2 linked regions of the Tribolium castaneum genome follow. The protein of the gene in region 2 purifies or fractionates together with the protein of the main gene of each other region. This does not show direct contact. Links are inferred from orthologs where the notes say so. Each region holds a gene or a part of one and is shown on either strand. Other genes may lie near its edges.

Region 1 (3,662 bases), about 9.5 Mb from region 2:
AGAATCAATAAAAAAAAATGGAACAAAATAACTAGTGTTGTAAGTTATAAATAATTTGTCAACTGAGTGTTGACCAAAAAATGTATCACAGCCATAGTCTGTAACGTCAACAGTGAACGAGACAGGTGGAAACAGTGAATTATTATGCCCCCAATGTGAATTAACCACACTTAAACAAATGTATGGGTTTTCCACCAGGGGTTAACGAAATTAAAACCACTTACATGAAGTCTACTTAGACCTCGCACGCATCTTCCTGCGCTTTCGCTTTAGCCTTCGCATACGCTTCTTACGCCACTGGAAAAAAATTAAAATTAATTTGTGATTATCAAACTGAGGTTACAAAATTAAGTCATATTGGAATTTGGCCAATTTCCACAACAATTGCTTTAAAAAATGTTCACGTAACAAGATAATTTAACAATAATTTTGCTTATATAAATTTTAATACTATCACAAAGTGGAAAACCGCCTTTTTGTCTCAACAATCAATTAACATTATTCGACTTTTTCTCCATCATTTGAGAAAAAATCACAAATAATATTGTTATAACACTCACCTTCGCTCTCATTTTGAGCTGTTAAAAGAATTCCTAGCTCAAAAAGCCAGAAGATTCTTAAAATAACAGCAAATTTTTTGAGTGAACCTCACACAACAAGAAATAGCAATGAAAGAGGATGTCGGTAGGGGAATTCGGGATGTTTATGCCGACGTTTCTAGAAAACTCCGCCAGGGGAACACTACTACTTCCGGAGCGCGAGCTTTAAGCAATCTAAGTAAAATTTTGTTTTTGTAATTAAAAAAGCAACTATAAAAGATACATGGAGTATCCACTTTCACGATTTTGACCCTATTGACATGACACTAAAAAAACTTTAAGCAATTTATTAAAAACAATCATATAAGGATAATCATCTGAGCATTGTAAGCCTACTTCAGCAGGCTGTATATTTAACCTATTCTTAAATAATTAATTAAAAAGATACAAAATACACTAAATACTAGTAAAAATGCGTGAAATAAATGCAAAACTGTACAAAAAATACTAAAGTTTAAGTAATAATCGTAGTAAAGTTGCTCAAATTAGTTCAAATGCTTTTATTTACTTGGGCACGTGACCTACAGTATGCGTTGGCGCGAAAAGCGCGAAAAGTGACAAGTGTCAGTACATGGTGGCTGTTTTAACCCTCATTAAAGTGCCATTATTATCTCATTAACTACATAAAAGTGGTGATTGCAAGCTTCCCTTGCTCATAATTTTAGAACTTTGATTTGTGTGCCTCATCAAAATGACTCCGGAACCACGTACCAGAAAATCAACAAGACTTCACCTGAAGCAAACTTCTTCAGAATCAGTGAACACTAGACGAAGAACCCGAAAACCAATCATAATATCAGATAGTGAAGAAGAAAATGTGCCTGAGACCGAGAAATCGCCGTTCAAAAAGCCCCCAAACACCCCCTACAAAACCAAATCCAGAACTCCCCCCGAAGATCGGACTGTGACGCCCCCCAAACAACGCAAAATGAGTGAAAATAATGAGAATCTACAAACTCCCCCATCCACACCCACAATTTTGCTCGAAAGACTGTCGCTGCTGAGTCCCAACGAAAAATCAAACCGGAAAAAGTTATTTCAAGAAGACGATTTGTATCAGAATGCCAGGAGAGCTTTACACAGTTCATGTCCCACGAATTTGCCAGGTCGTGAAAAGGAGTTGGGGGATTTGAAACAGTTTATTTTGCAACATTTGGACGAAGGAACTTCCGGTACTTTGTATATAAGTGGGCCCCCAGGAACGGGCAAGACCGCTTCGTTGAACTTGGTTTTGGAGGATCCTCAAATCTCATCAGGGATTGAACACGTTTATGTTAATTGTACGTCGATCAAGTCCTCAGGGTCGATTTTTTCGAGGATTGCCAAGGATTTAGGGATTAAGGCCAGTGGGAAGAGTGAGAAGGATTACGTGGGGGCGATTGAGAAGTTCCTTCAAAAAGGACACAGGACGATGTAAGTACTACTTTTTATTTAGTTCAATTGCGAATTTTTTTTCTAAATTGTGCCAACAATTTTCTACAAAAACTAATTAAGCTCTCTTCTTTTTTATTATTAATAAATTAGTATATTAAAATAAAGTAAAGTATTAAACATTAGTAAAATTGAAATATTTCATAAGAGTTGTTTTACTGCAGTCTGCTCGTCCTTGACGAGATCGACCAATTAGAGAGCAAAAAACAGTCGGTCCTTTACACAATTTTCGAATGGCCAGCAAATCCCAACTCGCGCTTGATTCTAATAGGGATTGCAAATGCGCTAGACTTGACCGACCGAATCCTTCCTCGTCTGCAGGCCCGTTGCGAGTTAAAACCCCAATTAATGCATTTCGCTCCTTACACCAAACAACAAATTGTCGAAATATTCACAAATCGTTTGAAAAATGCCAATGTTTTGGACATATTCTCGCCAATCGCCTTACAAATGTTAGCGGGTAAAGTAGCCGCAATTTCGGGGGACGTTCGGCGCGCTTTAGACATTGGGAGACGAGTAATTGAAATGTCTGATAAGAAAAAACGCGGTGAATGTGTGCTCAAATCCGTTGAAAATTTAGCAACGGAATTGGAGGAGAAAAAGCTTGAAAGTGTTGATATGAGACAAGTCGTTCAAGTTTTGAACAGAGTCTACGGAACGACGCAAAGTCTGGATGAGGAAGTTGAAGATTCGTTCCCGTTGCAACAGAAAATTATTGTTTGTTCGTTGTTGTTGATTTTGAAAAAGGCGAAAAATAAGGATGTGACGATTGGACGACTGCATGATGTGTATAGGAGGGTTTGTGCCAAAAGGAATATTCAAGTTGTTGATCAAGGCGAGTTTGTCGGACTTTGTTCCCTGATTGAGACCAGAGGGATGGTGAAAATTATTAAAAAGAAGGATCCTAGGATGAACAAAGTTAGCTTGGTTTGGGACGAAGGCGAAGTTAGTGCCACTTTGAGGGACAAACAGCTGATGTCCATGATTTTACAGGACGATAGTTGTTTAGGCAAAATGTAATTTTTTAAAGACTGTTCCTGTCGAATAGAATTTTATTTATTGATTGTAAACACGATGTAATGTTTCTTAAAATAATTTTTTTTTTAAACTGTTTTGTTTTATTTGCGAATAAGCGGTAAAGATTTTGGTTTTCCTATTATTGCAACATTTATCTGATGTTAGCTTTATCTTATCTTTTTCTTTGAATCCCATGCATGCATTCCAATATTGATAAATTGTTTAAAACAATTACGATTTCGGCCCGATTCACTTTTATTGGATGATTTTTTATTTATCGCTCTTGCATAATTATCAAGCAGACAAAGCTATTATTTTATTTAATATTTCATTTTCCTAAATACTAAAATTGCCTCTTTAGGCAAATAATTTAATTGTTAAAGTTCTCAAGAAAACTCAAACACTCGCATTTAAATTCCAATTCGTCATGAATTATAAACACCGACAATTTAATTTTATTAGGTCAAGCATTAGTTAGGAACGCTCGAAATTTACATTTTTAATGGGGTGGCCACTCTGTATAGTGATCAATATTCAGAGATGCCATTGCTTTATTATTAATTTCTTAATAAGTACGTCGATAGTTTCATAATTGCTATGTAGGGCTGTAATTGC
Region 2 (3,926 bases):
CATCAACCTTATAGCTTCATTAACATCGTCTTTCTCCACAACATTGGACAATCTCAGCCTGGCTAAAGCCGTCGACAGCCTCAAAATCCCCAACAAATTCCTAGCCGAAGTAAAAGTCATGTCTCTAGAATTCCGGGCCACATTTCTCAACTCCACATAAGCATTAACGATGTATTCAGTCAAATCTTCGGGAATCACCGGTTCTTTCAACTTACACAGTGCGATGTATTTCCGCATAACGCCCATATCAAGCGATTTGATTTGAGTCGGGGGCTGTTTGCAGTGCTGGTGCACGTATGTGATGTGTTTGGCGAGTTTCAGATCATTATCGCGATCCGCTTTATCCTGAATCAACCAAAGGAGATCGAAACGGGATAAAAGGGCCGCCGGTAGTTGGATATTTTGCTCGATTGTCCGCTTCGGGTTGTACCGGCCATAGGCCGGGTTAGCCGCCGCCAAAATCGAGACTCTGGCGTTCAAACAAGTCATAATACCCGCCTGAAAATAACAAGCAATTTGCAATTTAAAATACACTAATAACAATAAACAATTAAATACATTTGGATTAGGCGCCATGGCATTCGGTGCTGTAACGTTGGTAGTGAAACAACTGGCGGTTCATCAAATACGCTAAATACGATTCAAAAACGATGCTGAATCTGATATTTTGTCCAAGTTTTTGGGCAAAAGTGTGAAAAACCGTCAGAATTTAAATGTGGGGCCGTAAATGTGGAATAAAATGGTGTTTTTTACGTTAACAATAAAAAATCTCACTACCTTAGCAATGCTGATTGTTTGTTGTTCCATAACTTCGTGAATGGCCGTCCTGTCCGCATCCGCCATTTTATCGAATTCGTCAATACAACAAACCCCCTGATCGGCCAAGACCAGTGCGCCCCCTTCCAGCATCATCTCCCCCGTCATGGGGTCCTTCATAACCGAGGCAGTGAGCCCCACTCCCGAAGAGCCCCGTCCTGTGGTATACTGACCTGAAACAACCCCTAAACTAACCCAATCAAATTCAAACCATTGACTCACTTCGTGGCGCTAACCGATCAATGTACCCCAAAAGTTGCGACTTGGCGACTCCGGGGTCCCCCATCAGGCAAATATTGATATTCCCCCGGATCTTCATACCGTCAGGTCTGCGGTCCACTCCCCCAACCAGCAAAAGAAGCAAAGCCTTCTTAACGTCAAGATGACCGTAGATTTCCGGCGCTAGAGACACCGCCAATTTTGTGTAAAAATCGTCTTCGGTCAAGACCGATAGTTCTTCAGGTGTGAGGGGTTTGGACGAGCTTTCATCCTCTTCGGTTTTGTTCACCAAAGCGATTCTGTGCGCCTCGACGTAAGTCTCCGACAGGAGCCCCCCCATGATTTGTTTGAAGCCGGTCTTGAGCAAAGGGAGGAACACGCCTGTGACGGCCACGTGGTGCCCCGGAAGGGCCAGGCGAGTGACTTCGCCCCGACAAAAAATAGTCAAAGTCCGGGGGATGTGCCCCACTGGGACTTGGTCACTGTGTTCCTGGATTTTGAGCTCCTGGAATTTGACGAATTTGGAGCCACGGGTTTGGAGGTATAGGCGCCCCCCTGATTTGTTCACACGGCAGTCTTCACTAGGACACATCAACACCGGCATGAAACTTAGTCCGTGGACAGGTTGGTAGGTCTCAGCCCCGCATTGGTCGCAAGTGTAGGTCGCTACGGTCATCATAGGTTTGACTTCGGTGCTTCGCGTCACTATGCCCCTAACGGTGACCAGTTTCCCAATGTGTTCGGCTTTGACTTCGCGAATTGGGACGGTTTTAGTAGTTGATAAGTCTTTGAAGTAGATTTCGCTAAAACGCCAATTTAAAGTGCCCACCCAACTGGTACTTTTAACTTACTATCTGCGTAATAATTCCGGTGGAAATTTATTACGAGCATCTCTCTGCTCGTTCGGTTGTCTCAAACGCTGCTCCATCATTAGCCTGTGTTCAATGTAAACGTCCAAAGCGTCTTTGGCCACGACTTCGCGTTCCACGAATGTGGGCAACAGTTCGAAGACAACGTCGGAGAATAAAGTCGTGTACCGACGAGTGTTGTTTATTACAGCTTTGGCTAAATCATCGTCGTGTTCGTAAAGATCGTCAAGCTCGATGTAAAGGGCTATTTGCTCGCGATGAGCCAGTTTTGTCAACTGATTCGAATATTTAAAGTTTTTCTGACCGGAATCATCTTGAATGCAAAACTCTAACAAGAAGGTTCTTATGGTCTCTAAAACATGAACCGGTAAGGTGGAAATTAACCATTTATAGACTGGACTCACCTTTATCTTTGTCGTAATCACGTCGGTTCATGATTTTTGGCGAATTTACACTACTTCAAGCCGGAATTGGAGTTTTACTAACGTTTATTTACGACCACCTGTTTGCACACAACACACGCCAGTTTTGGCGCGAAAACAGGGAAGTAGTGGGAATTTAGGTTTGTTTTGTTGGCTACACATTCACAAATTCAATTTATTCATAAATTAATAATTAATACAATAATAAGAAGTTAGAATCACAAATAAAATGGTAATTGTTACGGAGACTATAATTTAGGAGACGAAATGAGACTTTGTGAACCAAAAAATAGTACGGCAAATGAGTAAAAATGAGGCGCTTCGAGCATCAAACCGTTTCGGCGCCAAAACGATTTAAATTAACTTAAATCCAATCAATTCACTAATTAATTACATGGTGAAAATGCAAAAAAAACAAAAAACTAAAATTTTCAGACAAAAACATGAGAAAATTTAAAATTTGCCCTTCGTTCTGTATTTTTCAATACGCGTATGGTTAAAGATATACAAGAAAAAAGGCTTCACGCTTTTCAATTACTTCGGGGATTTCTTGGGAGCTAGGTCATAGATTAACTAGGTGCTGCCACAAAAAAAAGCTGGAAATGCCACCGCAGAATGACTACAAATGATTTAAAGGTAGGTTTTTTAAGCAACGAATTTTTACGCCAGATTTGTAATTTACTTAACTACGAGTACATAAATAACGCAACATTTATAATTCCAATGTACAATAATAAAAATCACTCATCTTCCAACATCAAATTAAGCAGACTTTCTTCCATCGCAAAATCTGGAATTTCCTCATCCTCCTGTTCCTTTTTCCTGTGTTCGCACCAAGCAAACATATTTTCCATCTTAACGGTCGAAAAGCCACAAAACTCGTAACGCCTTTCTACAGTTTCCTTTATTTCATGGTAAGCTTTCTCGACTTGAAGCTCCAGCGATGGCACTGAAAACAGAAAATCAATTTCGAACTCATCTCACCCTCAACCACTCACTTTTACTCAATTTAGTCAAATCGAAAATGTATTGGAAATACGTAATCTGCGTGAACAGACTCAAACCCGAATATTTCTTGATCAAGACTGAGTTACAAACTTGACAAAAGGGAACCCGTCCTGACGAGCTCAACGGAATCCTCACAGTTTCCTTGCAACACATCGGATCCTCACAGTACATTTCGTTCAAATAAAACTTCTCGATGTAGGAATTTATCGTTTCGGTCATTTGATTTTGGATAAAGGGGACGTAATCGGCCGGCCTGGCCTTACAGCGCGCATTCTGACACTTTTGTAAAACCGGAATATTGTTAGAAAATGGACCATCAACGGTGTTTTCGCTCTCACAAACCAAACATTTAAATACAAACTTGTCGACGTTCCGGAACTTTATTTCCGGATCTATTACGTTCTCTCCGTTGTCATCGTCCACCTTTACTTTTCTCAAATTGCTGCTATCGACCCCGAGACAATCGGATATTTGCACAAGGTCCAACGCTTCAATGGGTTCGCAAATGCGGCTCACCACCGGATGAATCTGATTAGCGAGGTAGTAAGTAACGTCGATTTTGAGCGTTTCTGAATTTTTCAATTCCTCAATG

Evidence for each region.
Region 1: the proteins of Mcm7 (region 2) and Cdc6 purify together in Homo sapiens (affinity purification with western blotting; 3 studies listed by BioGRID). This does not show direct contact. The link is inferred for Tribolium castaneum from reciprocal best matches to the Homo sapiens genes MCM7 and CDC6.

What each region holds. Positions count from the first base shown.
Region 1 is NC_087398.1:392,695-396,356, forward strand, and holds Cdc6 (cell division control protein 6 homolog), read left to right. Parts: upstream 1-1,103; 5' UTR 1,104-1,290; coding exon 1,291-2,012; intron 2,013-2,194; coding exon 2,195-3,050; 3' UTR 3,051-3,138; downstream 3,139-3,662. Other genes in the region: RpL41 (ribosomal protein L41), read right to left, coding at 232-297, 561-572. UniProt on the Homo sapiens protein: Involved in the initiation of DNA replication. Also participates in checkpoint controls that ensure DNA replication is completed before mitosis is initiated.
Region 2 is NC_087398.1:9,870,162-9,874,087, reverse strand, and holds the start of Mcm7 (DNA replication licensing factor Mcm7), read right to left. Parts: upstream 2,447-3,926; 5' UTR 2,340-2,446; coding exon 2,309-2,339; intron 2,257-2,308; coding exon 1,887-2,256; intron 1,839-1,886; coding exon 1,039-1,838; intron 990-1,038; coding exon 778-989; intron 499-777; coding exon 1-498. Other genes in the region: PolA1 (DNA polymerase alpha catalytic subunit), read right to left, coding at 3,067-3,275, 3,325-3,926. UniProt on the Homo sapiens protein: Acts as a component of the MCM2-7 complex (MCM complex) which is the replicative helicase essential for 'once per cell cycle' DNA replication initiation and elongation in eukaryotic cells.